Linked DNA regions of Struthio camelus. The protein of the gene in region 3 interacts with the protein of the main gene of each other region in a pairwise test. Links are inferred from orthologs where the notes say so. Each region holds a gene or a part of one and is shown on either strand. Other genes may lie near its edges.

What was found.
Region 1: the proteins of MEOX2 (region 3) and UNC45A interact in binary tests that used the Homo sapiens proteins (3 or more experiments, as listed by UniProt). The two-hybrid records come from large-scale screens. The link is inferred for Struthio camelus from reciprocal best matches to the Homo sapiens genes MEOX2 and UNC45A.
Region 2: the proteins of MEOX2 (region 3) and PCSK5 interact in binary tests that used the Homo sapiens proteins (3 or more experiments, as listed by UniProt). The two-hybrid records come from large-scale screens. The link is inferred for Struthio camelus from reciprocal best matches to the Homo sapiens genes MEOX2 and PCSK5.
Region 4: the proteins of MEOX2 (region 3) and HAT1 interact in binary tests that used the Homo sapiens proteins (3 or more experiments, as listed by UniProt). The two-hybrid records come from large-scale screens. The link is inferred for Struthio camelus from reciprocal best matches to the Homo sapiens genes MEOX2 and HAT1.

What each region holds. Positions count from the first base shown.
Region 1 is NC_090953.1:537,237-544,205, reverse strand, and holds the start of UNC45A (protein unc-45 homolog A), read right to left. Parts: upstream 3,015-6,969; 5' UTR 3,000-3,014; coding exon 2,694-2,999; intron 2,601-2,693; coding exon 2,442-2,600; intron 1,679-2,441; coding exon 1,642-1,678; intron 1,532-1,641; coding exon 1,356-1,531; intron 1,242-1,355; coding exon 1,149-1,241; intron 870-1,148; coding exon 702-869; intron 430-701; coding exon 261-429; intron 9-260; coding exon 1-8.
Region 2 is NC_090982.1:28,163,200-28,170,132, reverse strand, and holds the start of PCSK5 (proprotein convertase subtilisin/kexin type 5), read right to left. Parts: upstream 3,023-6,933; 5' UTR 2,503-3,022; coding exon 2,305-2,502; intron 1-2,304. UniProt on the Homo sapiens protein: Serine endoprotease that processes various proproteins by cleavage at paired basic amino acids, recognizing the RXXX[KR]R consensus motif. Likely functions in the constitutive and regulated secretory pathways.
Region 3 is NC_090943.1:33,643,139-33,650,565, forward strand, and holds the start of MEOX2 (homeobox protein MOX-2), read right to left. Parts: upstream 3,014-7,427; 5' UTR 2,584-3,013; coding exon 2,073-2,583; intron 1-2,072. UniProt on the Homo sapiens protein: Mesodermal transcription factor that plays a key role in somitogenesis and somitogenesis and limb muscle differentiation. Required during limb development for normal appendicular muscle formation and for the normal regulation of myogenic genes.
Region 4 is NC_090947.1:22,834,104-22,840,975, reverse strand, and holds the start of HAT1 (histone acetyltransferase type B catalytic subunit), read left to right. Parts: upstream 1-3,851; 5' UTR 3,852-3,887; coding exon 3,888-4,005; exon of another isoform or gene 4,006-4,065; coding exon of another isoform or gene 4,066-4,072; intron 4,073-6,849; coding exon 6,850-6,872. Other genes in the region: SLC25A12 (electrogenic aspartate/glutamate antiporter SLC25A12, mitochondrial), read right to left, coding at 1,501-1,554, 3,486-3,536. UniProt on the Homo sapiens protein: Histone acetyltransferase that plays a role in different biological processes including cell cycle progression, glucose metabolism, histone production or DNA damage repair. Coordinates histone production and acetylation via H4 promoter binding.

The DNA.
Region 1 (6,969 bases), on a different chromosome or scaffold from region 3:
GGAGGAATCTTCCAGGAGAGAGAGTGCCCAGTGGTCAGTGCCCTGGACAGGGGCCTCACCCCCATCGTGGCAAGGCTGGCAGGAGATGCTGCCACAATCAGGGGATCCCCGCTCCCAGCTCAAGGCCATATTAACCTTGGACTTGAGTCCCTGGCTCTGAGTCCATCAGGGAGCAGTGGCAAGGCAGGTAGAGGGAGAAGAACCCCCAGCCCACTACACACTACGGCCACGGTAGCTAGCTGGGGCAGGCAGAACCTTACCTAGCACCACTGCATCCTCCTTTCCACGGAAGTCCTTCTGCATCCCTTCCTTCAGGGAATCAAACATCACCTGCAGCAGGTTGCAGGCAGCCAGAGAAACCTGCTCATGCTCCACACCCAGCACTGCTGAAAGACGAGGGGCACCCAGTTCCGCCAGGATGGCCGTGGTCTGCAAGTACAAGCACAGCTGTCTGCTGGAGACTTCAGGGAAGCCTTGGCACTCCTCAGCACCATCTCCAGATGGTTTCCTGTCACAACAAGGCTCCCTTAAGCTTGGGCCTGGTGGGGTGACAGCTGAGGGCTCTACTGCTCAGCAGGGCTGCAGCTATCCACAGGCAGAGGCCAGCCACGCTTCCCTGCCTGACACGCTTCACAGCCGCCCAGATATCAGGCCCCCCGGGCCAGGCCTCATCGAGCAGGAGAAGCTATGATGTGACCTACCCGGGAGCGGTGCCCGGAGCACAACCCCACCAGGGTGCGCAGGGCCGCCAGCATCATGTCAGCTTTGGCCGTGTCGAGGAGCCGCGTCAGCAGCCGCACGCCATCGCTTTGGAAGATTTTCTCTGCTCCGGCCTCCTCTCGTGCCAGCACAATCAGGTTCTGCGCAGCCTAGGAGAGGAGAGTCATGTTTGGGGCGCCAGCCCACATATCGGGGCGGCTCAGCCACGGAATGGAGCTCACTGTGAGCAGGGAACCTGCCCCACAGGAGCTTGCCAGGTAACCAGGGCAGCCACGAGCACCCGCCTTCCACCCCAACCCTTGCAGAGCACATTCTGCCCCCGCAGGGTAGCACAGTTCAGCCAGCAGCGCTGAGTCAGGAAGGGTAATTCCTCCCCCTCCTTGCCTTCCGTCCAAGCCATATCCCCCTCTGCTCCCTAGAGTTCAGACCTTCTGCTTCTTGTCTGCATCCTTTTCTTCAGGATCCAGTAAGATCTGAAACATCTGGTCCACCTTAGAGTCCGTGCAGGACATTGTCCTCATCTGAAAGATCAGAAACAGCAGCTCAACCCTCACCATTCCCCTGAACAGACCATACCTGCAGCGCTCCACAACAGCAGCACACAGCCAGCCCTACCAGTGGTCTCCCCAGCTCACCTTCTCATGCATGCTGCTCCCCAGGGTGCGCAGCGCCTCCTGAAAGGCCTTGTTCCTGGGCTCCAGGCTCACACACCTCTGCAAGTCACTGACAGCCTGGTCCAAGCGGCCCAGCTTCTGCAGCGCCTGGCTACGGCGGAACAACGCCTTCACGTCCCGTCCATTGGCTTCGATGGCTGAGGACAAGCGAGAGATGCGTCGCAGAGCCCTTGGACCACTCCTCTCTGCCTCAACAGACAGGCAGCACACAGAGACCGGTCTCCTACCAGCCATGCTCCGACAGTACCTTTAGATGCATCAGCTTCTGCCTTGGCGTAGTCTTCCTGCAGAGAAAGAACTGGTGAGAAGGAAACGGCCTGCCTCACTGCCCACAGGTAGACATGTAGGTCACATGCACCCCAGCTTGTGGGCAGAGGCAGCACCAGACTCTTTAGAGGAGCGTGTAGGGAAATGACCGTGGGGGTTTGAGAATGGAAACACAGTCACCGAGGACAATGAACCGGTATGACGGGGCATCTGGCCCTTCGCAGGAACACAGCCTTCACAAGGGTTCCTGAGGAGCCATAAGCCCCCGCCTCGTGCCCTTTGAGTGCCCACTGCAATGGCGCTCCCTATCCATCTGTGTTTCCCACTTGCTTCAGAGACCGTTCCACGCCAGCAGACCAGAGACACTGTGACTGTCTGGGGACCCAACGCAGAGCATCTGTGCATCTTTGACATGGACAGTAGTGTGCTGCCCAGGCCCAGACAGCCCACTAAAGAGGTGGGACAGCATCAGATAGACCAGGAGAAGAGAAGAGCAGAGGAAGCAGGGCAGGCAGCCAATGCAACAAGAAGGAAGGGTCCTAAGGGCCCTGGAAAACAGATGTTTCCGCAGCATCAGTTCAAGGAGATATACTACTTGGCCACCCTGGTCACTCTGCTCTGCTACCTGCTGGCACGGAGAGTTACCCGCCTCTTAGGGAGGGACAGGACACTACCAGGCAGCTCCGGAGAGGCCGGAGCAGCAGCACGCCCCGGCAGGCCAGTCCGGACAGGTCGGTTCCTGCAGGGCGCACGGTGACGCCCGCCCGCCCCCGCTCTCACCAGCTTCAGGTGGCAGGCGGCGCGGTTGCGGTGCAGCACGGCTCTCTCCGACTCGGCATCGCAGAGGCTCAGCGCCTGCGTGTAGGCGGCAAGGGCCGCAGCGTGGTCCCCCGCCTGGAACAGCGCGTTGCCCTGCTCGCGCAGCTGCCCCGCCGTCACCTGCGAGACCAGCACCGGGGTGGGACAGGGGCACTGCCTGGGGGGATCCCTGGAAAAGGGTCCCCACCCCATCCATGCCATGCAGGGACGGACCTGGGACAGGTCACGACCCTCCAGACTGCCCCAGGGATGGGCCCGGGACAAACCTCGTCGCCCCAGCTGCCCCGGGGACGGGGCGATGACAGCTCCTAGGACAGACAGCCATCGCCCCGTCAGCCCTGAGGACGGGGCAGTGACAGGCCCTTGGGACGGGCCCCCATTGCCCCGACAGCCCGGGGATGGGCCCGGGACGGGTATCTGTGAGGGGCTCCCGGGAAAGGCCCTCGCCCCGCAGCTGCCCGGCCCCACCACAACACCCTGGTCCACGCCAGGCCCCCCCTCAGGCCCTCCCCACCCCATCGGTCACGACTGCACCCCCCTGGCTCCCCCGGTCCTGGCCAGCTCCCCCCAGTCACAGCCAGGCCTGGTCAGCCCCCCCTAGTAAGAGCCAGGCCATTCCCGGTCCCCCCGGTCCCACCCAGGCTCCCCCGGTCCCAGCCAGCTCTACCCAGTCCCCCTGGTTCCAGTCCCGGTCTCAGTCCCCCTAGTCCCCCCCCCCGGTCCCCCCAGTCCCGGGCAGCTCCCCCCCAGTCCCCTCGGTCCCGGTCAGGCCCCCCCGGTCCCGGCCAGGCCCCCCCGGCCCCCCCGGTCCCGGCCAGCTCCCCCCCGGCCCCCCCGGTTCCGGCCAGCTCCCCCCCGGCCCCCCCGGTCCCGGCCAGCTCCCCCCCCGGTCCCATCAGCCTCGCCCAGTCCCACTGGTCCCGGCCCCCCGGTCCCGCCCAGGGCCCTCCCGACCCCCAAGTCCCCCCCGGTCCCGGTCCCAGCACCCCGGTCAGGCCCCCCCCGGCCCCCCCCGGCCCCGCTCACCGCCGCCTCCATCGCGCCGCGCCCGTGACGTCACCGCCGATCGCCCGGGGAACCCGGAACGCCCCCCCCCGCGTCACGTGACGAGTCCCCGGGGGCGGGGCGGGCTCGAGCCTGCAGCGCCCCCGCGCGCCCCCAGGGGGCGCCCCGGCCCCGGCCGCAGCGCGCGTGCGCGCAATCTGCGCGCGCTGCCGCCGCGACCCCGTTGCGCGCGCCTTGTGCCTCCGTGTGCGCCCCCATGTGCCTCCAAGGGTGTCCCCATTGCACCCCCCATATGCCTCCAAGGGTGTCCCCATTGCACCCCCGTGTGCGCCCCCATGTACCTCCATGGGTGTCCCCATTGCACCCCCCATATGCCTCCAAGGGTGTCCCCATTGCACCCCCCATGCATGCCCCTGAATGTCCCCATTGCACCCACCATGCGCACCCCTATAGGTGCCCCCATTACAGCTCCCATACCCCTATGGGTGCTGCCCATTGCACCCCTCGGTGCTCCCGCTGCCCCTCCGTGTTCCCCCATTGCCCCATATGTGCCGCCATGGGTGTCCCCATTGCACCCTAGTGTGCTCCCATTGTGCCCTGTGTGCCCCTAAGGATGTTCCCATTGCACCCTGGTGTGCCCACCATGTGCCCCCTGGGTGCCCCCATTGCACTCTACTGTGCCCCGATTGTCTCCCACGTGCCCCTAGGGGTGTTCCTATCGCACCCTGGTGTTCCCCCTATGTCCCCCCAGGTGCCCCAAGGGGGTTCCCAGTGTACCCTGGTGTGCCCCCCTTGTCCCCCATGTACCCCCCTGGATGCCCCAGTGCACCCTACTGTGCCCCCTTTGTCACCCATATACCCCCCCAGGTGCGCCAGTGCACCCTAGCGTGCCCCCACTGTCCCCCGTGTATCCCCCTGGGTGCCCCCGCTGCCCCCGGTGCGCTCCCGCGGGTGCCGCCCCGACCCCCCCCCGCCCGCCGCGCCCCTTCGAGCAGGCGCCGTGCCGGGGCCCGCGGCTGCCAGCCGCTGCTGCCGGGCCCGGCACCCCGAGCCCTGCGGGGGGGCGCCCCGGCCGTGCCCCGGCGCCCCCCGGCCGCAGCGGAGCGGAGCGGAGGGGAGGGGGCCGCGGCGCCGGGCGCTCATCCCTCCGCGCGGGCAGCCGGGGGCGGCGGGCGGCCCCGCTGGAGCCGGCAGAAGTGCAGGAGGTCGACGGCCGCGAGCAGCAGGACGAGGAGGCCGTAGAGCCCCACGAAGGGCAGCGCCAGCGGGTTCCTGGCCGGGGAGGCGGCTCAGGGCCGGGGCCGGGGCCGGGGCCGGGGGTCGGGGTCGGGGTCGGGGGTCGGCGCCCACCTGAGCGGGCCGGCGGCCGGCGCGCTGGAGCCGTTCGCCCCGGCGGGGGCCTCCGGGGCCGGGCGGGGGCAGCAGGACTTGAGGGCGCGCGGGCCGGGCCGGCAGCAGTAGCGGTGGCCGGCCGGGTCGCCGAGCCGCGGGCAGTAGAAGCCGGCGTGGTAGCGCCCGTCGGGGCCCGCGTAGCCCTCGCAGAGGTGCAGGCTGCCGCCGGCCGCTGCCGGGGCGAGGCGGGCGCTGGCGGCACCGGCCAGCGCTCCGCGCTCCCGGGAGCCGGGCCGGGGCCGCGCGGGTCCCCCCCGCCGCGGGTCCCCCCCCCCCCCCGCGCAGCGCCGAGCCCCGAGCGGAGCCGCCCCGGACCGGGCTCAGCTCCGGCCGCTCCGCGGGGCGGCGGCTCCCCGCCAGGGCGGGGCGGGACGGGACGGGCGGGGACGGGGCGGCGGCCCGCGACCCACGGCGCTGGCCAAGGGCGAACGCGGAGGAGAGGGGCTGCGGCCCCGCCGCTGCCCCCCGGCCCGCCGCCGGGCCCGGACGGCAGGGAAACAGCCCCCCCCGGCACGCAGCCTCGGTGGAAGGGACGGGGCGAACCCCCGGCCGGCGGAGCGGCCCCCCGACGGCCCCGTGCTCCCCGTCCCCACCACCCCGTGGCACCGCGCCTCACCCCACTGACGCGCCGCCGTGGGGCAGCCGGGCGCGGGGTCACAGCTCCCGTGGCCGAGCCCACGCCACCTCGACGCCTCGACAGGCCGCGGGGGACGGCACCTGGCCGTGGCACCGAGCGGGGCCCTACCTGTCCCCAGGAGCCCGGGGCACGCCGCCGCCGAGAGGAGCAGCCCCAGCAGGAGCCCGCTCAGCATCTTCCCGGCCGTGCTGGGGGCACCGGCAGCCCCAGCGCTGTCTGAGGCGAAACCGCAGCCCCTCCTGCTCCCGCCTCCATCACCGGCCCATCAAGAGCTTCTTGGAGCCATTAGAGCCTCCTGCACTTACTGCCCTGCTCCGCAGGGACCGGGAGCGGGAGGCGGGAGCATCACTAATGAGCTCCTCGGGGCCAAGGCTGGGATGGAGGCTCCTTCACCAGCCCCGCAGCCGGGGCGCGGGGTCCCGTCGCCCTCCTGGGGCATCTTGGCCCTTCGGCACCCGGCTGCTGCGGACCCGAGCAGGGGCACAGGGCAGGGCCCTCCCCACGCAGCCCTCGGCCGGGGGAGCTGGGAGCTGGCCCCTGCCAAGGCAGCTGACGCCAGGGCTGGCCCTGGCCGGAGGGTCCTGGGCCACCGGCGGGCTGCAGAGACACCGCGGTGCCAGCAGCCCCCAGGGCGGTGGGGCACCCCGGCTGGGCAGGCAGCGGGCCCCGCACTGAGCAGCCTGGCCCCCCGCCAGCTGCTCCATTAGCTGGACACCGGAGCTGCTCGTTGCACTAATGTGTCTGTGCAGGGGCCAGGCGAGATCAGCCAGCCTGCTGCCTGCATGTGGCTGCCAGCTCGCCAGCGCAGGGCCGCCCGGCGCAGGCTCCCCAGAGAGCTTGCACGCCCCGCCTGCGCACCACGACCTGGATCACCATCCCTGCCTGTGCACCACGACCTGGATCACCATCCCCGCCTGCGCACCACGACCTGGATCACCATCCCCGCCTGCGCCCCATGGCCTGGATCACCATCCCCGCCTGCGCACCACGGCCTGGATCACCATCCCTGCCAGTGCACCACGGCCTGGGCCACCATCCCCGCTTGCGCACCACGACCTGGATCACCATTCCCCGCCTGCGCACCACGGCCTGGATCACCATCCCTGCCAGTGCACCACGGCCTGGGCCACCATCCCCGCTTGCGCACCACGACCTGGGCCACCATCCCCGCCTGCGCACCACGACCTGGATCACCATCCCCGCCTGCGCCCCATGGCCTGGATCACCATTCCCCGCCTGCGCACCACGGCCTGGATCACCATCCCTGCCAGTGCACCACGGCCTGGGCCACCATCCCCGCTTGCGCACCACGACCTGGATCACCATCCCTGCCAGTGCACCACGGCCTGGGCCACCATCCCTGCCTGTGCACCACGGCCTGGGCCACCATCGCAGGGTGCACACCACGGCCTGGGCCACCATCCCCGCCTGCGCACCATGGCCTGGATCACCATC
Region 2 (6,933 bases), on a different chromosome or scaffold from region 3:
ACTGCAAACACTAGAACGCCCACCTAGTACTAATGAAAATGCCAACACAGAAATACCATTTGCAGATGATTTTGCTAGGAATGATCAGAAACCTAAAACTGGCCATCCTAAACAGACACTCATGAAAGGCAGCTCTGCGTTAAGTCTCTGCAAACGCATAAGACCTCTTAACTGCACAACAGTTGAGCTCTGAGCTCTGCACTGGAAGGACAGAATGACATCTAGCACTTGGTTACACCAATCCAAAATACATACAGGAAGCTCTGCGGACTATCTGTGTGCGTGCCCGCCGCCAGCTTCCTATGTTCAGCAGTTGGTAGCAGTCAGAAGACTAGGAACCACCCATCAGCGTAGTTCATATTATTAGCAAAGTTTTCTTTCTCACACAGGCATCAGTTAACAGTATTATACTCGTCGCCTTGCATTCTCCCTATGTACGTAACTAGCAGTACTGACTCCCTTCACGTATGTCCTCTTTTCATCTGTATACCTCGTAAAGTATTTTCCAGTTGTTCATTATTCATGGCCGCTATTTTCCCTCATTCCTATCTGTACACCTGATCAGTAACGTATCTATTATTAATATGTCATAGGTGTGTGTACATGGCACTTCACTGACACACAAGAAGACCACAGCAGCTTAGTATATTCTTTCCTTAATCCAGCAGGAGGTCTGGATGTGCAAGGGATAAAAAAGCAGGCCTTAAGTTGGCCAGCTGGCCTGGCAAAAGACAAAAGAGGAAGAAGTGAATCCTCTCATCAGCTAACTGCTACTTATTTCAGCACTTTAAAGGTCCAAACAGGAATATACAAAAAACACCTTGTGTGAAAGACATGCATAAGGCAAAAGCAAAACACATGGGTGCAAAAAACTTTGCTCTTGGATTCCTTCATCTTCTAAAAAGGGCACTTTCAAGGTATGGATTCAATCTGGACACAAAAACTTCCTCATGAATTTCTGTCCCTCCGAATGGGAATAGCCTTACCTACCTGCCCAAGCGTTCCAAGGGGGAAGCTGGCGCTCAGCCTTCCTAAAGATCTGCATCTGTATACATCATGTATTGTACTGCTGCAGTCTGGCTTCTCTTACGTAAATTATTCGTATGAATAAATTGCACAGCTGTCTTATTCAGGTGGGCAGTAATCGGGAACGGTTGAGATGCACGCTTCAAACTTTTGCCTTAGTGATACAACACAAATAACAACCAGATACGCGTCACTTTCAGCCGGTGGATGTAAAAGGCCTGTTGCACTAACGCAACTGTAATTTTGCAAATCTCATGTATAGGATGAAGCCTTCTGTACCTGCAAATGCTTGTTTCTAAACTCTGAATTCACGTAGTATAAACTACTGTCTAGAAAAATCGTGCCTGGATGTTCGCACACAGGCATGCGACAGAACTGTTTATTTTTTAGGCATTCAACTTGCTATGCCCTACATACGTGACTCACATTTTGAGGCTAAATGTCAGGAAAGCCTAGCATACCGCGGCGGCAAATTTGTCAGAAAAAAAAAAAAGGCGATCTTATGACATTTTTCAGCAGCAGCAGCAGCGCCTAGATGCAGCAGCAGCAGATTTTCCAGCGTGACTGGATCTAGGGGGAACCAGGTGTTTCCTCACTTGCCGTTCCTGGATCCGTCTGGATCCAGGAATTTTCTCACGGACGGATTCCTGGAGCGGGCCCGTTCCAGGTGTCCTCTCGCTGCACATCTGCGGCTCCTGCGGCATCCAGGTGTTGCCCGGCGGAGCCCAGGGGAGACCTGCCCGATCCTACCTTGGCCGCGCTGGCACCTACGGGCCGCCTTCGCCCCTCGCCCGCTGTCAGCCGAGCCGCGGGCAGCGCCGCCGCCGCCGCACGGAGGCGCGGGCACGCCGCGCCGGCGGGGCAGAGCCCAGGCACCCGCGGGCCGCGCGGCCGCGGCCCCCCGCCCCGCCGCCGCCCAGAGCGGGGCGGGAGCCCCCGGCGGCCGCTGCCACGTCCCGGCTCCGCGGGCACCACGGGCTCGCGAAGGACGAACCGGTGTTTCATTCCGATTTGGGTTTTTTTTTTTTCGGGGGGGGGGGAAGAGTTTAGCCCCCGCCGCCCTCCCCCCCGGCCCCGGCCCCGGCCACCGCCCCGGCGCGGCGCCCCGCTACCTGCCCCCGCGCCCCGCGGCCGCTCGCCGGGCCGGGCCGGGCCGGGCCGGGGCGCGGCGGCAGCGGCGGCGGCGCTGGCGGGGCCCGCGGCGGGGGCAGCGGACGGTGCCTGCCCGGCGGGCGGGAGCGGCGCCGCCTGCGCAGAAGTAGTTGTAAGGCGGGTTACCTGTCCTATATTGACGTATCCGTACTTGCTAGCTATCCTGTTGGCCTCCGGGAGCCCCCCAGCGATCCGCACAGCCCAGTGGTTGGTGTAGAGGCGCGTCCTGCAGGCGGGCAGCAGGAAGCCCAGCACCAGGGTGAGCAGGCAGAGCAGGTCCCCTCCGCCGCCGCCTCCCCCGCAGCAGCGGCGCTTCCAGCCCATCTTCCTCTGCTCCGCGCGCAGCCCCCGCCAAACTTCGCCTTCCTTCTTCCGCGGCTCTGCTCCTCACCCCCCGGCGGCACCGGCGGCGAAGTTACCCCGAGGAGGAGACGAGGAAGAGCTTGGAATAGTGCATTGAACCGCCTGGGGGGCTAAACTACCGGGGGCCGGGAATAACAGTTATTATCAGCAGCGGTGATGACCGCTCTCCCCTCCTCCCTCTGCTCTTCGGGGATTAAGTAACTTGCTTGGAAAGCTTCTCGCACAGTTTCTGAGCTCCAGCCTTCTCCCTCTTTCCCCAGCTACACGGAAAGTCTTCTCTCCGCAGGGGAGGGAGGTCGCCTTCTCTTCCCTCCTCTCTCAGCTCTCCCCTTGCTAATGACCGCCTGCCTCCTCTTCCTCTTCTTTATTTTCCTCGCCGTCCCTCTCGCTCTCCCCCGTCTTGCCCGGAGCCCAGGAGCAGCGCAGCAGCAGCGGCAGGCAGTGTGTGTGAGTGTTGGCAGCTGAGCGCCTCACTCCAGTCAGCCTCGGTCACCTCCCTCTCTCTCCCTCCCTCCCTCCCTCCCTCCTCTCCCCTCCCTCCCGCGCTCCCGCCCGGCGGCGGCGCGGAGGGCGAGGGGAAATGGCCTCCGCGCCGCCGCCCCGCGCCGCCCCGCGGGGGGCGCCGGCCCGGCCCGGTTCGGCCCGGCCCGGTCCGGCCCGGTCCGGTCCGGTCCGGCGAGGCCCGCGGCGGGGCCGGGCCGCCGCGGTGGCGGTGGGCGCGGGGGGACACGCGGGGCGGCGGGGAGGACAGCCGGCCTGGGCGGCGTGGTGACCTCGCGGCGCCCTCCCGCCCTTACCTTACCAACGCGGCTGGGCGTTATCGGGCGTCGAAACGCCCGCCAAACCCCACGCGTGGGGGAGGAGGGGGGGGCGGGCCAAGGCCGCCGCAGGGCGCGGCGTGTCGCGGCCGGCCGAGGAGGAGCGCGCTGCGAAGGCTGCCGCCACCCGGCGCGCGCGGCCTCACCAAGTCGGTGGTTGCCCGTGGGCCGCGAGGGTGAGGCGGCAGGAGCGGTGGGGGCGCAGCGCGGCGGGGTGGAAGTGAGCTGGTGGCCGCGTGAGCCCCAACGGTTGCTTCCAGACTCAACGTGGAGCCACCGCAGTGGCTTTGAACACGCTATATCTGCGCGTTAGTCGTCCGAAAGTTAGAGTGAGCCCATACAAAAATCTAACGAGGCGCCGTGAGGTTTCCTCACTGTGTGTAAGGGGATCTGGGTGTGAGAAGTGCTGTTAACGTTTCAAAACATGTTTTCCTCTGAGGAACCTAAGATGTCCTACAGAACCAGGCAACCACCGTTCGCCTTGTCACGGAGACCCGAAGTGTGAGAGGTTAAATGTTTGGCACAAAGTCATATGGTAACATGGAGTGCCCCCCCCCCCACCAAGAACAGTGCTCCTACCAGTAGAACCACTCTTCTAATAAAATTAAAGCAGAAATGTGAAATGCAAGCCGCGCAAGCTGTGCACCCCTTATTTAACTATTCTCTGCATCAAGTTAATTCATTTTCCGCCCAAACAGCAGTATCGTATTAATAGGCAACAACTTTCTGTATCTTCTGATTCATTTTAAAGGAGAAAAATGGGGAAACCCACTCTCTACTTCCTCGTTTTTCTATACCTCCAAAAATTTGCTTGCCAGCTATTAGTTTTTCCCTGTTGTGTTTCCCCTGTAGTTTGCGTTATCACGTGCTGAATATATTACAACGTACTATTTACCCCCGTTTGTAGTTTCGAGACCGCTGTGTGGCTTACCTTCCCTAGGAATTTTGCAGATAACAGCTCACTCTTTATCAAAAGCAGGACCTGATCCTTCTGCTGTAACCACGGTCAACGCTCTCATTGGATTCCGTAGGAGCAGTATTAGGCCCAGAAGGTTACGTCTTGCAGCTAATGTTCATAAATCTACATTCACTGAATATGGCATTCAGTCTCCTCTAGCGATTAGCCTTCCTTATTGATTCGTTCAGTGGTAATTATACAAGTTAGCTCTCTTCCTATATTTGGAATGTTTGAAGTGTATTTAATCATGAGTGGCCACCTTACTAAAGTACTTAGCAATCAATGGGTCACAAAAACTGAACCTTTTGCACTTTTGGTTTGTTTTTTTGAAGAGGATAAATAAAAAATGTGTGTTGTGGTCTTTTCTCAGTGCATTTTTACTATTGTCTTGACTGCCTTCTTTCCTGCTATAGATGCATGTGTATGTTTTGGGGGATTCTGACACAAAAACTGTAAGCAAAAAATAAAATCGTGCTACTGTTACATTTCATTATCTACTTCCAACTTTGCTTATGTGACACAACATTTTGCACAGATGCGTCAAAGACGCTAGGAACTGGTAGACATGATAAATACACCGTTTTCCTCTGGATATATGGGTCCAAACATCTCTTCAGAATGCTGCATTGTGTCTTATAGCCTCACAAAAAGGTTGCCAAAGCTATACTGTACCTGAAAACAGCCTCTGAAAAAGGAGGAACTTACTGCCCCGGGGCATTTTCTTTATGAGCAAGGAATCCTCTTTGCTGAGCCCATCGGGGACGGGCAATCATGGCTGATGTGGGAGCTGCACGCCTGAGCTGGGTTGAAGGTGAACCCAAAATTGCAAAGTTTTGCTGAGTGCATTATCACAGCCACATCTGTACGGGGAACTGCACTCCTTCCCCGGAAGAGTGACAATTCCTGTATTCCTAACCCATGCCTTGTACTAATTTAAGCTGCTTCTTTCCCAGTGGGCTGGGAGGTAAGGAGTCTGGGCACCACATGAGCACTGAGAGAGTGTTGGAGGACTATCAGCAGGGGTGTGTTTTATCCCAGCATACCTACTGTACGTGGGTTACAGGCCGCATACGGTTGGTAGCTGGGCTTGCCTCTCTACACTATGGGAGGCCAGATAGCTTGTCTGTACACACCGTGCTCAGGGGAAAATTTTATCATCTGTGAGCAAGGACACTAAATTGGTCTTTTCCATCACTGTCATCACAACCTGTACCTTTTATCTCATTTCTTTTCCTCATTCTCACCCCTCTGCTATGATCAATATCCGACTGACTGCTCAAAATGCAAGCTTCAATGTGCCTCTGTCTTGCCCTTTATTTATTGGTGCTAATCCTTACATCCCCCCTCCACTGTTAATTCAAGATGATTCTGATATAGTTAGTGGCTGACCTCCATCTCTGTTCTCACTTTCCTCCTATTTGGTCTAATTGCCTCTGTTCTTGCTATTTTGCCTACTACCTCTTGAAGCTCGTCTTCTCTTTCTAGTCCTTCCCCTTTTTCTGAAAATTCCTCCAGCTCACTGGCTCTGGCAGCCTCTAAAGCTGGGCTGTGCTTCATTTCAGCTTTCCAGCCCTTTTCCATTTGAATTTTGCAGACCAGTGCTCCAGAGATGTGTTATGCACTCTGGGGGCATAATTAATGAGGAAGCTGCAGAAGGCAGATCTATTTGAAGTAAGCGGCAGCCCTAAGTCCTACAAGAAGAAGTCCTATGAGCAGACGTGTTGGGCCCTGAAGATCTGCCAGAACAGAGGATGTTTTCAGAAGGAGCTGGAGGTACATGTTCGGCAGATCTGGGAGTGGGAAAATCTGAAGCAGAATAGAAGAAAAAATACTCTTCAAGGAAGAGAAGAGAGGGCTTCAAAGGGGGAGGTTGTGTCAGCGCATCATCTAAGGTTTGCAATGGCCTCAGAAACAGGGACGCTTTTGGAATCCAAATGAATGTTTAGATTTCCAAGGTTTCAGACAGCACCGGTTTTTGTGAAGAGTGCTGTGAGGTCGCTTGACACCAGCCATCTTACAACTCAATTTGCTGATACACAGTTCTTTAATCTGCAGTTTTCCGTGCTGCGGGCTTGCCTCTGATTTTGTTTATTTTCAACTTCAGCTGCTTTTAGGGAGAATTAGGAAAGTTTTTTTCTTTTTAATGGAACTCTAGTTTTGCGCATGATCAACAATATTAGCAGCTTTTTCCTTCACAAGCACCAGTAAACTTACGCTTTGAAACAGAGCGTGCCCAACATATTGGGCACATGACTTTGCTGTTCTCATGAAAAGCTTCCTACATATGGCCAAATTTTGAGTGACAGTTTTCACATTACAGTAGATACTTTTTTGAGTTCAGCAGCTAATATCTCAAGATTATTCACCCTCACTGGGCATGCCTCTCACTGCTCCTACTGCAGAGACTCTATGTAAAGGGGCTATCGCAAAGCATGACTTTTATCTAGCAGTTGCTGTTCCCACTTCTTGTCCATCAATGCGGGAGTGAGCACTATAATTGACAGCAGTCTTTAATGAGCCCTCTGGCAATGCAAAGGAGGAAAGCCTCCTGCCTTGCATGCAGAGGAGACAAAAAACAGAGGAGATGAAGAGAGAAAGTACTTGACTGAGACAAGG
Region 3 (7,427 bases):
GAATTTTATACAAACGCCTATTGAAGTACTTCCAAGTGTGATGATTATGTCTCATAAGTGGGGAGGGGGAGGACGGGATTCTTTAAAGTATGGTGATTTGTTTAAAAAACGGATTAATGGGAAAAGTAGGAGATAATTTTTATTCAAATTAGGAGCGATTATGGATGACAAATACAGAAACACATTGACTCAAATAGTTCTTGCTGCCATACATTAGAAGGACGTTAAATATCTAGCACCATAGTTCAGGTTTAATAAAGGGGTGGGGTTAAAAGGTCGGTCCAAAAGTCAGTTTTTTCCTGAAGAAAAACCGAAGATTCTCTGGCAACTCAGTTGTCGTCAAAAGGCACCAACTTTCAGTTTGAGAGACTCCTAATCGTGTGAACGGACATATATTTTTTTCTTAAGGGAAGGGAGGAGGAAATAGTTACCTGCCTTGATCTTCAGAAAGTCTTAGAAAGTGAAGTTCGGAGTACAGTGCAATATAAACATAATCACGACTAAAGGCTTGCGCTCTTGTCCACTAAATCCCATGGAAGACTCCAGTGGCTTCAGGATGAGGTCTGAGACATTCCCCGCTGCTTTTTGCATTTGCATTGCAAAATGGAATAAACAGAAAGCAATGCAGACATTTCCCTGACAGTGAAAGGCATCAATATCTTTTTTTTCTTTTAGCTTTAAACAGTCTGACAAAAGATAATAAAGCCTTACACAAACAGGCATCCAGTTATTTTCCAGTAGCAATGGGGACACAAATTTTAGTACTGCTCATAGACCTCACAGAATCAGAGAATTCCTTTTATTCCACAAAATGTAGTGAAGATGCAACAATAGATTTTGCTACAAGTGTTTTACAAAATATGGCTTTCAATCTTGGCGGTTTTAAAACCCATATACCAGCTACATACGATAAAATAAAGTTAAACCCATCCTGAATCACTGTAAACATTTCCTAACGTAATGGGTAATGAACAAAATGACAGTGTCCTTGAAGTACTTTTTTAAAATAGTTTCTATTGCTTACCAGCTCACCAAGCTCAAAATATTTCAAGTGAAAGAGGTCACAGTTTCAGCAGTGAACTTCATAAATATCTGCAAAATCCTTTCACTTTCCCTTGCTTGGTAGCAACCAAGAAACTCGCTATGCCCGCTCCTGAGTTTTCAAAATGTTGAGTACTCTCTTTTTCAAGTGCCTACTGCCTGTCTCAGTGTAGCTTAGATGAGCCTTCAGTTTGTATCTGCTGCAACGGAAGTGCCATCCATCGCACTGCCGTCGCGGAATGCCTTTTGTCAGTATGGGGCTGTGACTGGCTTGGCCATGCTAAAAGCAGAGATTTTGGCAGTTCGTTTGCACGCTTAGCGATGCCTAATCATCATCCCGCCACGACCGCGGGTCTGCACGTTTTTATGCTCGTCTTGGAGTGAAAAATCGTGGTGCGTTTCAAAGTCCGACAGCTCCTTCCTTCCCTCCGCCCCCGGCACAAGGACGCTCAGCTGAACTCGCGGTCTGAGACGCCAGTTCCCCCGTTTGGCGGAGGGACTCCCGGCTCGGCCCCGGCCGGGCCGCGGATCTGCCGCGGCCGCGCTGCGGGGCGAAGCGTCCCGGCGCTGTGCAGCCGCCGCGGAGCTGCGGTGAGCGCCGCGGGGGAAGGGGCGGGAGGGGAAGCGAGCGCGCTCTATTCTGAATTTTGCAGCAGAGGTGGTGTATCGGGCGCTGGGCGGGGGGGGGGGGGAGAAGGGGAACACGGCACCAGATGCTAAAATTTCCTCGTCAAAACTACAAACGTTTCTCTCCTGGACTATACGAAACTCGCCCACCCCCTTCCCCCCGATTTCATGCTCTATCACGTGCTGGCTTTCTCCTTTTTATTTTTGCCCCGTAGCCCTAAAAAAGCTTGCTTTAATGATGGAGCTCTCGAGAGCGCGTTTGAGTGAAGACGCGACCCGGGAGCCCGGTGTCAGCGGGCGGCCAGAGCCCCGCGGCGGCGGGGGACCCGCGGCCCGGCAGCGCCGCACCCCCCGGCACCCTCCGCCCGGGGGTCCCGCCCGCACGGCAAAGCGTGAGCCGTTACCTGAGCTGTCGCTTTTCCTTTTGCCGGACCTCTTCTCTGTTTCCACCGGGGACAGAGCTTGCCTGCCATAGTCCCCTGGCGCACACGCTGCCCCCGTCGGGGTGTTAGTGCCCAGGCTGGAAGAGTTTGAACAGAGGACGGGGGGGCTGCTGCCCAGCTCCGGGGGTCCTCCTGAGTCGGGCTGAAGGCAGAGGCTGTGCCTGGCCGCGGCGGGAGGAGACGACATCTGAGGAATGTGCCAGTTCGTCTGCAAAGCCTGGTGCTGCTGTTGCTGGTGGTGGTGGTGGTGATGGTGGTGGTGGTGGTGGTGCCCCCTATGATGCTGGCTGGCAAACATGCCCTCCTCATTGGGGTATCCCGCTATTATGCAAGAGGAAGAAGAAGAAGACAGATCAGGGTAGGACATGTGGTCAGATCTTCCATGCAGGGCAAGAGAAGACTGGGAGAAAGGGTGCAAGCTCTGCGCAGTGGCATGGGGGCTGCGCAGGCAGCCAAAGAGTGTGTGATCCATGGCATGCAAGTCTCAGGTTCCAGGCAGGAGAGTTTAGGAAAGATCCAACTTCACCACCCTTTGTCAACTTTCACTGTAAACAGATCGGGGTTGGGATTTTTTTTTCCAAAACGGCAACGACAGACTTTGCAGCAGGCAGCTGAGCTCAGATAATCCAGGTCTTTAGCCCTAGTGGCCAGTCTCCGCTGCATAAACACTCGGACCTAGATGAGCCTTTCTCAGAGCTGCTCAGATGTCAAGAAGTGGGAGAGGTTGAAGCCAATAGAAGGTGGTCCCAGAGAACTGCTTGAAGGGGGAAACAGCTCTCAGAGGTTATAAATACAGTAGTGTGTAATGTGAGCTGGGGGCTGGCTTAGGAGCACAGCACTGACCACATGCAAACTCCCTCCAAAACGCCAGCGCCGTCCCCGCGCCGAGCCGCTCCGTCAGCGGGCGGCAGCGCTGCGCGCCCGCGCCCCGGGCGCCCGCGGCAGCCGCGGGGGGTGGGGGAAGGGGGGCCGGCCCGGCTCCGCGGGGGCGCAGCCCGCCCCTGCCTGCCCCCGGGCGGGCCGGGGGGGAGCGCGCCCCGGCGCCGCGGGGCTCGGCGGGGCGGCCCCGGGGGGCGGCGGTGCCCCCGCAGCCGTGCGGCCCCGCGCGGGGCCATCACCGCCCCGTCGGGGCCTCTCCGAGTGCCACCGCCCCCTGGAAAGCCAGCGGAGGAGCGCAATAAACACGTGAAGCACAGTCCGCGGGGGTTATTCTGAGGGGGCAGCGGGAGCCCGGGTCGGGGGGGGGGGCCGGGGCTAGCGCCGGCACCTTTTCTCGGGGGCCGAAAGGGGCCGGCGAGGCCCCTCACCTGCGCTCCCAGGTGGGCGGGCGGGCGCCGCGGCGGCCGCGGTCCTCCGAGCGCGGGGGAGCGCGGGTCCGGCCGCGGCGCTTCCCGCCCCTCGCTCTGCCCCCGTGTCGCATCTGCAGCGCCCGAGGTGGCCTGCCGCCCTCCGCGGGGTGCCCGCACCTACCTCCGCACTTGGCCTTGGGCGCACAGGACCTGCCGGGGCCGGCAGGCAGGGTTGCAACGAAATAACCGGCGCTTAACGAGCTACGAAACATGGTCGAGGAAAGACAGTTTCCTTCTTTGCCCCCTGCCCCTTCAAAGCAAGAACTCACATTATTTTTATTCTCTATATCTTCATTTTCTTCGTTGCGGTCTTTAGTGACTCAAGAGGGACCGGCTAGAGAGTCGGTGCTTGGCTTTTTTCCTTTTAACATGCTTGTAGTGGAATTAACAGTAGCCACGAAGAAGGCAGTTAACTGGTCTAAATGACGATAACGTATTTATTGATCATTGCCCAAGAGGTGCCCACTGCGAAAGTATTTTGTTGCTTAGCCCTTCCTCCTCGGTCTACCTTCCTCCTCCTCCTCCTCCCAAATCAAAATTAAAAAAAAAAAAAACACGCACACATACAAAACCATTACGTTCCTGCCATTCAAGTCTAAATTCTTGGGCCCATGTGCGAAAGATAAAATGAATTTCAATTGCTATTGGAAAAAATCAGGAATTGTATGAGATTTGCAAGAGCTAGTTTCTTAAACGGAAATTGAGTCCTATTTTGTGGGAAATTAGTTTTGCAGACTTTCTGAAAAAAAACTAAAACTTTTGTTCAGCAGCTGCTCCACTTTTCCCTGCAGTTTCAGACTGAGCTGGAACCTGTAGCAGTCTTTCGACGGTAAGATTTTCCCCCCTTTTCTGAGATCTAATGCTTTTGAAAAATTGTCTTTAGATTTAAGTGTAACAATGCGGTCTTTAAAAAGAGCGTGGCGTCCAAAGCAGAAGTTGCTGCCTCTGTGCACTGTTCAAAACTTGATATTTCTTCAGAATAAAGGAAATATACAGTTACAACACTGATGAAATATTTTGTGCTTTTCATTGTGTTTATCGTTTCAATATGTGCTCTAATATTAAAAGAAGGGAGCGCAAAGCGAACGCAATGGCTGAACTACTCTTGGTTTTGTTAACTCGCAGGGCTGTGAGAACAGTGATGCCGTTGTCCCTAAGAAGTAGCGGGGTGTCACGCAGCAAGAGCTGGGCGATCCTCGCCGAGCGCGGTGCCTCGCGCTTCGAGCTGCAGGCGAGCCGCAGCCAGCTCGCCCGGGGCCGTGTCCCCGTCGGGGCGGCCCGAGGCGCCGCCGGCTCCGCGGCGGGCGGGCGGCGCAGGCGGCCCCAGGTGGGAGCCCCGGCAGCGGCGGCCGGCGGCTCCCCCCCATCCCCCGGCGGCCTCCGCGCTGCGCGGCCCTCCGCGGGGGCAGGCGGGCGCGGCGCGCCCCGTCAACCTGCTGCCGCCGGCACGCCGCCGTCGGGGGGGACGGCGCCGCGCCGGGCCGCGCCGGGGGGGCAGGAGTGCCAGCACCCCTCCTGCCACCGCCGCCGTCGCGGCAGCCCTGACCCCGACACAGCTGCGACGGGGCTGGGGAAGTGCCAGAGCCGCGCCGGTGTAAGAATGCCCCCCCCCCCCTTTTTTTTCCTTTAAATTCTAGGGGATGGCCGCACAGGATTTCTCGAGGATAAAAAGCGAAATAAGTGAAGTACAATGAAGACAGCGAGAGGGTACGAGGGGGAGGGAGAAAGATTAGGTTTCCCGGAGAAATAAGAGACGGAGCCAAATAGCACTTTTTAGGCAGAGGTAGGAAGGGCTCCGAAAGGTGAAGAAGAAGAAAAAAGCCCAACAACAAAGTAATAATGACAGAGCTAAGCATTCGCCATTAGCTTCATAATCAAATCCGAATATTGGGGACTGTATCTCCTTTGGATCTTAATTCCCCTAATAAGTACACAAGTCCTACATCAAGTGTTCTTATTTCTTCTTCAATGAGAGTTTTTAAGCACACAAGAGCTGGAAGTACAAATTTCTGTAGAGCCTTATGTTTTCATTTTAAATAATATAAGCAGAATGCAAATATAGGCAATTAATGTTGACATGAATAAACAACATCAAACGTTTACTGAAATATCCTCAGAAGTTTCTCTATGGAGTTATCAAATAACTATATACTATGCCATCCTTTGTAAAAAACGTGCAACTTTTCTGACAAAGAAAATTCCACTGCAAAGCTTTTCACTGAAATATTTACTGAAGAAAGTGTAAACAGTTATTACCTCTCAATATTATTGATTGGATTCTCATTCATGTTGTATCTTTTTAGAATGTGTGTTTGACCTACATGTGGTACAAAAGCATAACTTAAATCAATGCCAACAAGTTTGCCCAAAGCTTACAACATCAAATGAAAAAATAGAATGTTTTAAACATACGAAAACAGTAAACTGTTTAACTCTTAAAAACATCCGTAGCCAAAATAGTTTGGGACATCATTTATATTTTCATATACAGGCTCATATTTGCATTTGCTTTATTTTTTGGGTTTTGTTTTGTTTTAATTTACCATTTATGGTAAAAGGGATCACATAAAAATTGACCTGAATGAATCAGCGTAGAGTTCCTCAGCTTCAGGACTTCCGTAGTCTCGCTCAATCTTTTACGCTGGAGGCTAAATGCACCATCTTCCTGAGTATTTATCAGAGTATAAGCAAGATTCTTGTACACTTCTTTCTAGTGCGCAGCTTTCTAATATATGCATACTACGAGAACATCAGACAAATAGTCATACTTGCGGACCAGTATTTCAGTGGTATAAACTGTCATAGCTTTGTAGAAGTCAGCGTAAAGATGACATTTTTCGCCATTTGAGAATATGCTCCTTACTGTCAAAGAGAAAGCTTATAAATATGAATTCAGTTTATTTTAGCCAAAGATTTTATTGTACTCAAGAGCCTACCAAAGCAAGAGGACGAGATTTTATTGTACTGTAATTATGATCAGTTCATATTTTTCCATGGCAATTTGGTGAAGGCAGGCATCATTATTTAACCTTAGAGTCAATCCAGATTCACAACAGATGTATGTTTATTTTCAGTCTTTTCTTTTTCCCCTAAATTTTCCCGTTTAACTCCCGTAGAAGCAATATAATTCATTTCTCTTGATACCTAGGCTGTAACGAAAACCTATAGATACAAGCAGTAATAAAGCCACAGTTATGCATCGTTTCAGAGATGCTTGGATGCCTTAACTGAAAAGCCTTATGCAGAAAATGAATAATGTGCTGACGGGCTTGTCAAAAATACTGAATTCCTCCATAGTTAAAAAGGATGATGATCGCATTTCCCATTCATAAACCTACTATGCCAGTATCTTCACTATACTTCACCATAAAAGCAGTTTTTGTGAGAAATTATACTACCGCCAAGCACACCACATAACCTGAACATTTCTTTTCTGTGGTGTACTTCCATTCCACTCTTTTTAGCATTTACATGTGCCATGGTTTAATACGTATCAGATACAATTTTTGGTTTAAAGGCTACAACATATCTATAGAAGCTTTAAGCCTGAATCCATATTTTCAGTTACTTCTCCTGTATACATATGGATTCTGTTCTAATTTTCATGATCTCCAAGTATTACAAATTTTAAAGCTATGCCAGCAATTTAGTGTATTACATAAAAGCTGTGCTGAACTATGAGGCCCTCACGGAAAATGATTTACAAGTTTGCATTACATCATTAAAAGTTATTTGAATTGCCAGCCCACTCTAACCAGTAAAATATCTTATGCTTCCTATTTAATTTAAATAAACAGATGAAATATTAAAACAGTTAATGTACTTGAGGCTTCACACCTGAGCTATGATGTTTCAGGAATGCTTTTAGAGATTGAACGATGGGAAACTTGCATTCCACATTAGATACTCAGAAGCCTTAAAACAAGTTCTCCTCCAAACCTGGATGTGTGTTTGTTTTAAATAGATA
Region 4 (6,872 bases), on a different chromosome or scaffold from region 3:
AACATTTTGCATATTTGAAAATAGTAAGATGGACAGGAGGGAAATCAAAAGCCTTTTTTAAAATAGTAAACTGTTTGCTTTTTAGGTCAATATGTATGTTGTCACATAGAAAATTTAAAGATTCAGCTGCACAGCGTTCCTCCTCTCCACTTTTTCCTGCATGACCAAGATCAAGGGTTTCAGATAATTTACTTATTTTCAGAAGCAAACACTTCTACTGCAATATATGCCCAAAGTCAAGAATCATACAAACTCCACATTTCCAAGCTGAGTAGAATATTTTGACACTTCATTTCACTTTTTGCCATCAAACAGGCAGAAGTGCAAGTGTCTTACAAATGAGTTTGGAAAAGTGCTGTGTGATGTTCCAGAATCACATTCATAGTAAATGCTTTTCATATTTTAATGTTGCTTATTTGATTAACAAACTCCATTGTATTCTTCATATAAATGCTAAATCCAACATCAACAATAAATCAATCTGTGAAGGAAAGAATTTTATTAGAAATTGAAAGCTAGACTTTCATGGTTTGATTCCAACATTCTAAGTTTCAGCACTCCAGCAATGTTACCAGAGTAATCCATTGTGCGAAAAAGAAGGAAAAGGACTGAGATTTAACTTCTCTCTCTCTCAGGTAAAAAGGTTTCTTCGTCTACTTATCACATGTGCAAGCTGTTAAATAATAAGTTAGGACCAAAAGTTACTTTTCAAAGATGGTACAAGAGATTTTATCATGTACAATATTAGCCCTAAATCTTAATTTTAGTTTCTTCCCTTTTCCGCAGAGTAAAGCTGCTTGAATACACTGTGTAGTACGCAACTTAAAGGGAAAGAAAAATGTTATTTTAGAGCGTTTGAAAATATCAGTGGTCCAATTATGGACCTAAAAATATAGTTTTACTTCTTATTCCATCAGCATGTTAAAAATCTTATCAAATTTTGAGTATATATTGGGTTTTCCTCTTAGAAAGTGCTTCACTATAGCTAAGGAGAGTAAAGAAACCTTCATGCTGTTTATATATGCTAATTCTAACACTCTGTCAGAGATAATATTTGTATTACTCTGCTTATATTTTGAAACTCATCAACCTTAGTAAATTAATTGTAAATTCTAAAAACATTGCTCGTAGTCCATCCATTTATAAGAGGATCACATACAAATCCCGAAGAGAGACTATACAGCCATGTAAGAATTTTCAGAAACTTGTAAAAGGGTATTTTAAAAATAACACTACTATCTATGTTTATAACTACTTGCTTCGTAGGAAATTAGAAAACATTTCAGAAATTTATTTCAGACTATAATTTGGAAATGTTTAGTGACAATTTGTGTCAGGAACAGTTTCTTCTCAGTGCCAGAAGGCCCTCTCAACATCCCACTTATGTGAAACGAGTTTTTAACCGTGCCACAAGCACAACACACGTATGATGCTGCGACACACTGCTGAAAAGGCAAAGAAAAAAGTGTCAATCAAACAGTGTAAGACAGAGCTGTTTACCTGCAAAAAAATATTTCGCAGTTCAGCAGGATCTGCTCTCTTAGTTGATTGCACCTGTAAATAAAAGTAAGTTAATGCTTCACTAGCTGAGCTACTGACAGAGTTTAGAAAAAACCTGCAATCTGTGCTGATAAGGGCAACAAATACCAGTTCTCTTATCTAACCGATAAGGAGAATCTCAGACATCAAACCCTTCCTTTTTATTGCTCGACTCCAAAACGAGTCGAGCACCGCTGACAGCTGTCAAACCGGCGGGGCACCGCCCGCCGCCGAGGCCCGCGCCCGCCGCCCCGCAGCGACCGTTACCGCCCGCGCGCCCCGGGCAACGGCCGCCCCGGGCCCGCGCCCCCGCTTCGCCTCAGAGGGCGGAGGCAGGCCAGGCTGCGCGGCCCCTGCCGGCCGGCGCCCCGCCATCACCGCCCCCGCCGGGGCTGCCCGCGGGGCTCCCTCCCGCCGCCCGGCCGCCCCTCGGCCAGCCGCCCGGGCCGGCGGAGCGGCCGCCCGCCTCCTTCGGCGATAAGCGACGGAGGGCGAGAGTCACCTTGACCGCCATGCTGCGCCCGGCGAGGAGGAGCAGGAGGAGGAGGAGCCGCCCGGCGCTACCCACCCGCCGCGCCGCCGCACCAGCCGCCGCCTCGGCGCCGCGCTAATGAGCGCCCTGCCCTGTCCTGCCCCGCCCGGCCCGGCCCGCTCCCCGCGCAGGGCTCCCCTCGGCGGCCGCGGCCCGCCGGCCCCGCCGCTCCAGCCGGCAGCAGGCTGCCTGAGGCCGCCCAGGCGGCGTGTGGCGCCCCTTCCTCCCTCCAAACAGGGGCAACAGGAGCGCAGCCGCCGGCCCCTCTGTGGGGCTGCTGGCTCTGGAGCCGCTCCACTGGGGTGCGCGTGCAGCCGCAACCGTAATCGTGCAAAACAGGAATTTCTAAAACGCTGCTGACAGGCCTTTCTGGCTCGAGGGAAGCAGCCGTTCCCTTGAAGGTCAGGAAAGCGATACCTGTTGATTGCAAGCGATGTCACTTTCTGCAAAAGCGCTCTAGCAGTGAAGAGCTGGTAGCCTCATATTTAAACAAAGAAACAGAAGTATAACGTAGTCAGTTCTGGACAGCTTCTGACAAACTCTCCTACCTTAAACAGGAGGACACACTGACTGACGCACGTTGTACCTCAAAACGAAAAAACAGGCAAGCCACATCCTCAAGAAAGGAGGCATTTATACTTTCTTTGGACAGTTCAACCACAATAAATGCTTGCAAAACCTGAATTTAAAAAGAATGCACGTTTTGTCATGCTATACCGTAATTCTCAGAGCCCAGCAAGATCTCTTCTGTTAGATATCACTGGAAAGCATAAAAATGACTACTTTTGTACTCCAGATAACAGAGTGGGATATAAAACTACAATAAATAGTACTAATGGTAAAGCTACTAATGGTAAAACTGAATATTTGTCCTTAGTTTAGTTAAAATGTAACAGTGGCATCGAGCCCATATAGCCTGTATATGAAGACAAAAATGGAAGTAGAAGAGATTTGTTTACTACTTCCAAAACTGCAATGGAAGATTCTATATATTTTAAAGTCTTATTCACAGAGGATTAATTTTAACATTGTATTTAGTAAACTGGTGAGAGGGGAGATCTAAATCCACCCTTTCCTAAAGCACGGAGGACATTCAGTTGTCAAACGCAATGACACTTCTACATCAGAAACCAATGTGACTGCTTGCCAGTTGTGCAGCAGTTGAGGGTTAAGTTACTTATTTGGTGTTCCAGGCCAAGCAGAGAACAGAGGGCATAATCTCCACATGGCTTAAATTAGAATTGGATAAACTGGGTGCTTTATCTGGACTGGCCCTCGACCGTGCTGCGGACAGATATACCGCATAACCTCACACTTGTTCTCTGTCATAGTTCTGGGCCGCTGCTCAAATACTAACCTTCAGATAAAGCCTGTTTGACTCATACTAAAATGGACTCCTGATAGATTAAAATACCGGTAAGCTTTGAAAAGCGGCAGGGCAGCCAGCAGCAAGGTGTCTCCTCATAGGCCAGAGGTGCAGCTGCCTGAGGGGTTTCGCGGCTGTCGCCTCACAGGCCGGGCTGGGACCTTCCGTCAGGCGGCGCCAGGGCCGTGGGGACGCGGGAGAGCGGGACGCCGCCGCCGGCCGGCCCTGCGGGAGCCCAGCCGGCCGCGGCCGCGCCAACCGCCGGACGGGGCCACAAGCGCTGCAGGGCGGCGCGGGCAACGCAGGTGCGAGGCCGAGGCCGAGGCCGAGGCACTGCGCATGTGCGCCGGCCCGGCAGGGGAGGGTCGGCTGCTCGGGGGGCGGGGACATGCAAATAAGCTCTTTAACGGGTCCCGCGAGGAGGGCGTAGCGCGCAGGGCGGTGCCGAGCATGCGCGCTCGCGTGCTAGGCGGCGGTGGCGGCTGCTGCAGCAGCAGCGGTGCCGTCCGCTCCCCGGCCGTATTTCGGCGGGCGGAAGCGGAAGTGTTTGTGTGTGCTCTCATTTCCGGTGAGTGGGCGCGCGGGTTGATTCGTTCTGCCTGGGTGACTTGGCCGCCGCCGCTCGGAAATGGCGGGTAAGTCCGCGCCGCCGCCCTGCCCTGCCCTACCCGGCCCTGAGCGGCCCCGCCGGTCTGGGCCGGGCTCCGGGGGCTCGGCTGGGCCTGCCCGGCCCTGCCCTGCCCTGCCCTGCCCGCGGAGGGGCGGTGGCTCGGCCGGGCCCCGGGGCTGCGGGAGTTGGGGGGGAGGGAGGGGCGCAGCCGCCCTGCTGCCGCCCTGCTGCCGCCCCGCCGGCGGCCGGGCCGGTGCCGCCCGCAGCAAGCGGGGCGGGGCGGGGGTCAGCGGGGGCCCCCCGAGGGCGCCGGGGGGGGAGGGCAGCGCCCTCGAGCTCGTGATCCCCGCACCTAGTGCGGAGCCGCAGCGCCGCTCCCTTTCTGCTGTCTTCCTGAGGGAATCCTTGGTTTTATTTAAAGTTTGCTATGAATAATCTGAAACTAGAGGGGAAAAACTTTCTGAGGAGGCTTCTGGAATGAACCTTGGATAGCCATGGGGAGGAAAGCCTTAAAACACTTGAAAAATACCTTACTAGGTGACAAATGTTTTGTATGCTGGAATGTACTTTGGAAAGCAGAGCAGATTTAACTTGTTACTCATTTCTGTTCTGCTTCAAAAAAAAAAAAGTGGTAATTAGGTAATTATTGGTGGTATGTATGCTACAGTTGAGAACCCCTGTCTGTGAAAATGATTGCAGTAAGGTGCCTAGTATTAGCTACAGAGACATACTTTTTCAGGAGTTCTTTGCTTTAGTCTGCTTGGTGCTGTTGGGGGGGTGGGGGGGGGCTTTCCTGAATTGTTGTAAATCTATGAAGAGGAAGTAGCTAGTGCCCTTTTATTTAGGGTCTTGAAACAAACAACTTTATTTTCAAATGCCTTTTTTGTTTAACGCTTTGAGATTAGGGCTTTGCCTTTCCTGAGGAGCTGTGCAAAAGATGGGAAAACAAATAGCAATGCAATACAACAAATACTTTGGAATAGTATGAGATATACTAATGTATGCATGCTCTGTTAAGAAAACATGAGGAAAAGAGAAAGTTATTTTAGTCCTGTGCTTATTGACCAGTGATCTGCCACCAGGCTTCTCCCTCAGTCTGCTTACTTTTTCACATACCTATCTGCCTGTTTTTGCAAAACACTTTATTGTCAAACACTTTATTGTCACAGAACAGATTTGCCTTTGTCTTATTAAGACAAAGCAATGCAGCCTTAAAGAGTAGGAAGGATGAAAAGCTAGAAGTTACAAGAGAGGCAGTGGATTCTGATATAAAGTCTTGATGTTACAAAAACATGCTCTCTATGTGCCTGGTGTTTGCTTTTAGTTTTACTTTTTAATTCTGAGATTGTATTCCCCCACCCCCTACCCCCAATTACTTTTTCAGGCAGAGGTATTCCTTCCATGTTTGGTGGGGGTTTTTGGGAGGGGGTTGTTTTTTCTTCAAATCATTGAGTCCTTGGTCTTAAAAGAATTTCAGCTTCCTGTACTGATGTAGGTGCAGAGGCAGCCCAGTAAAGTAAGACCTATGTACGTGTCTGAGCATTTCTTAATTATATTATTTATATGTTCAATTTATGTTTCGGGGAAAATATAAAGGATAGTCTTCTCATAATTGCTTTTTATTTGATATTCTGCTGGATGAGACACAGAAATCTTTGTACAGTGCCATTGAAGTTTTCAGTAAATGGGTTGCTGCAAAGAAGCTTGCAGCCAACTGAGCTTGTGTCTCTGTTTAGGAAAAGTGCTCTTTGAGGTTGTCACACAGAAGTTATAATCTCTCATTTCCCGTTTGTAAAATAAGCATGTTTCTTGAAGTTGTAATGAAGAAACTGGCAGGTGGGGTATAAGCAGTACTGAGAATTTCTTGCTTCTGTTCTAGTGGCTGAGCCAAGTATGTGTGCTGTTTCTTGTTTGCTGCCTTGTATGAGTATTCCAATTTAGTTTGGTTCTGTTGCTGGGGAGAGGGAAGGAAAACTTGTAACAATCAAGCATATACTGTGCTTACTTGTTACCTTCATTTTGTAGAAGTTTTTTGAATAGTTATGCTTCTATAAGCTTAAAGTCATGCTTACAGAAGATGACATGCAATTTGTGTAGAACGGTATGGTTATTATGAAAACAGGTTTGTCTTGTGCCTCATAAAAGTAGAAATACCCACAAGAAGTAGGGATTCTTCCATGCAGATACACTTGTAGGCTCCCTGAGAAAGCATGACGTTTGACCATGGTTTCATGTAGATCAAAGTGTCACAAAGACATGATTCTTTAACTTTTGCAAGGATGTAATGGCAGGCATAACAGTGCTTGTCCAATAAGGCCCTGATCCTCTCTGAGGCTTCTGGGCACTTTTGCTGTCCAAAGAAGTAATAAGAAATTATAATTAGGATGAGCTGGATGGTTTTTACATTCTGAAGTTAAAATGCATGTGCTAGTTTCTAGAAACATCTGTTAGACTGAATTCTTAGTTTTTTGTTCCAGCTTTGAAAGATGTTTTTATTGGTAATAACGTCATTTTAAATCTTTTGACTATAACTCCGTTCTGAGAAACTAGAAAGGGAGATAACTGTGGTCTGTTTCCTAGTTCTTGTTTCTAGGTCCAGAAAAGTTTGTGAGGTAATCCAAATATTCCTTTTAAATTTTGAGTACATATTGAACAGATAGGTTTAAAAAAAAAAAAAAAAGCCATAGTATTTGTGGTGGTGTCCTTCTGTTTTTGAAAATCTTCTTCTAAATATGTTCCTTGAATAACAGTGATACAAGTTTGTGTGCGTCATTAAAACTTTCTTAAAACCTTTCTCTTCAGGGCTTACTGCTATGGAGAAGAAG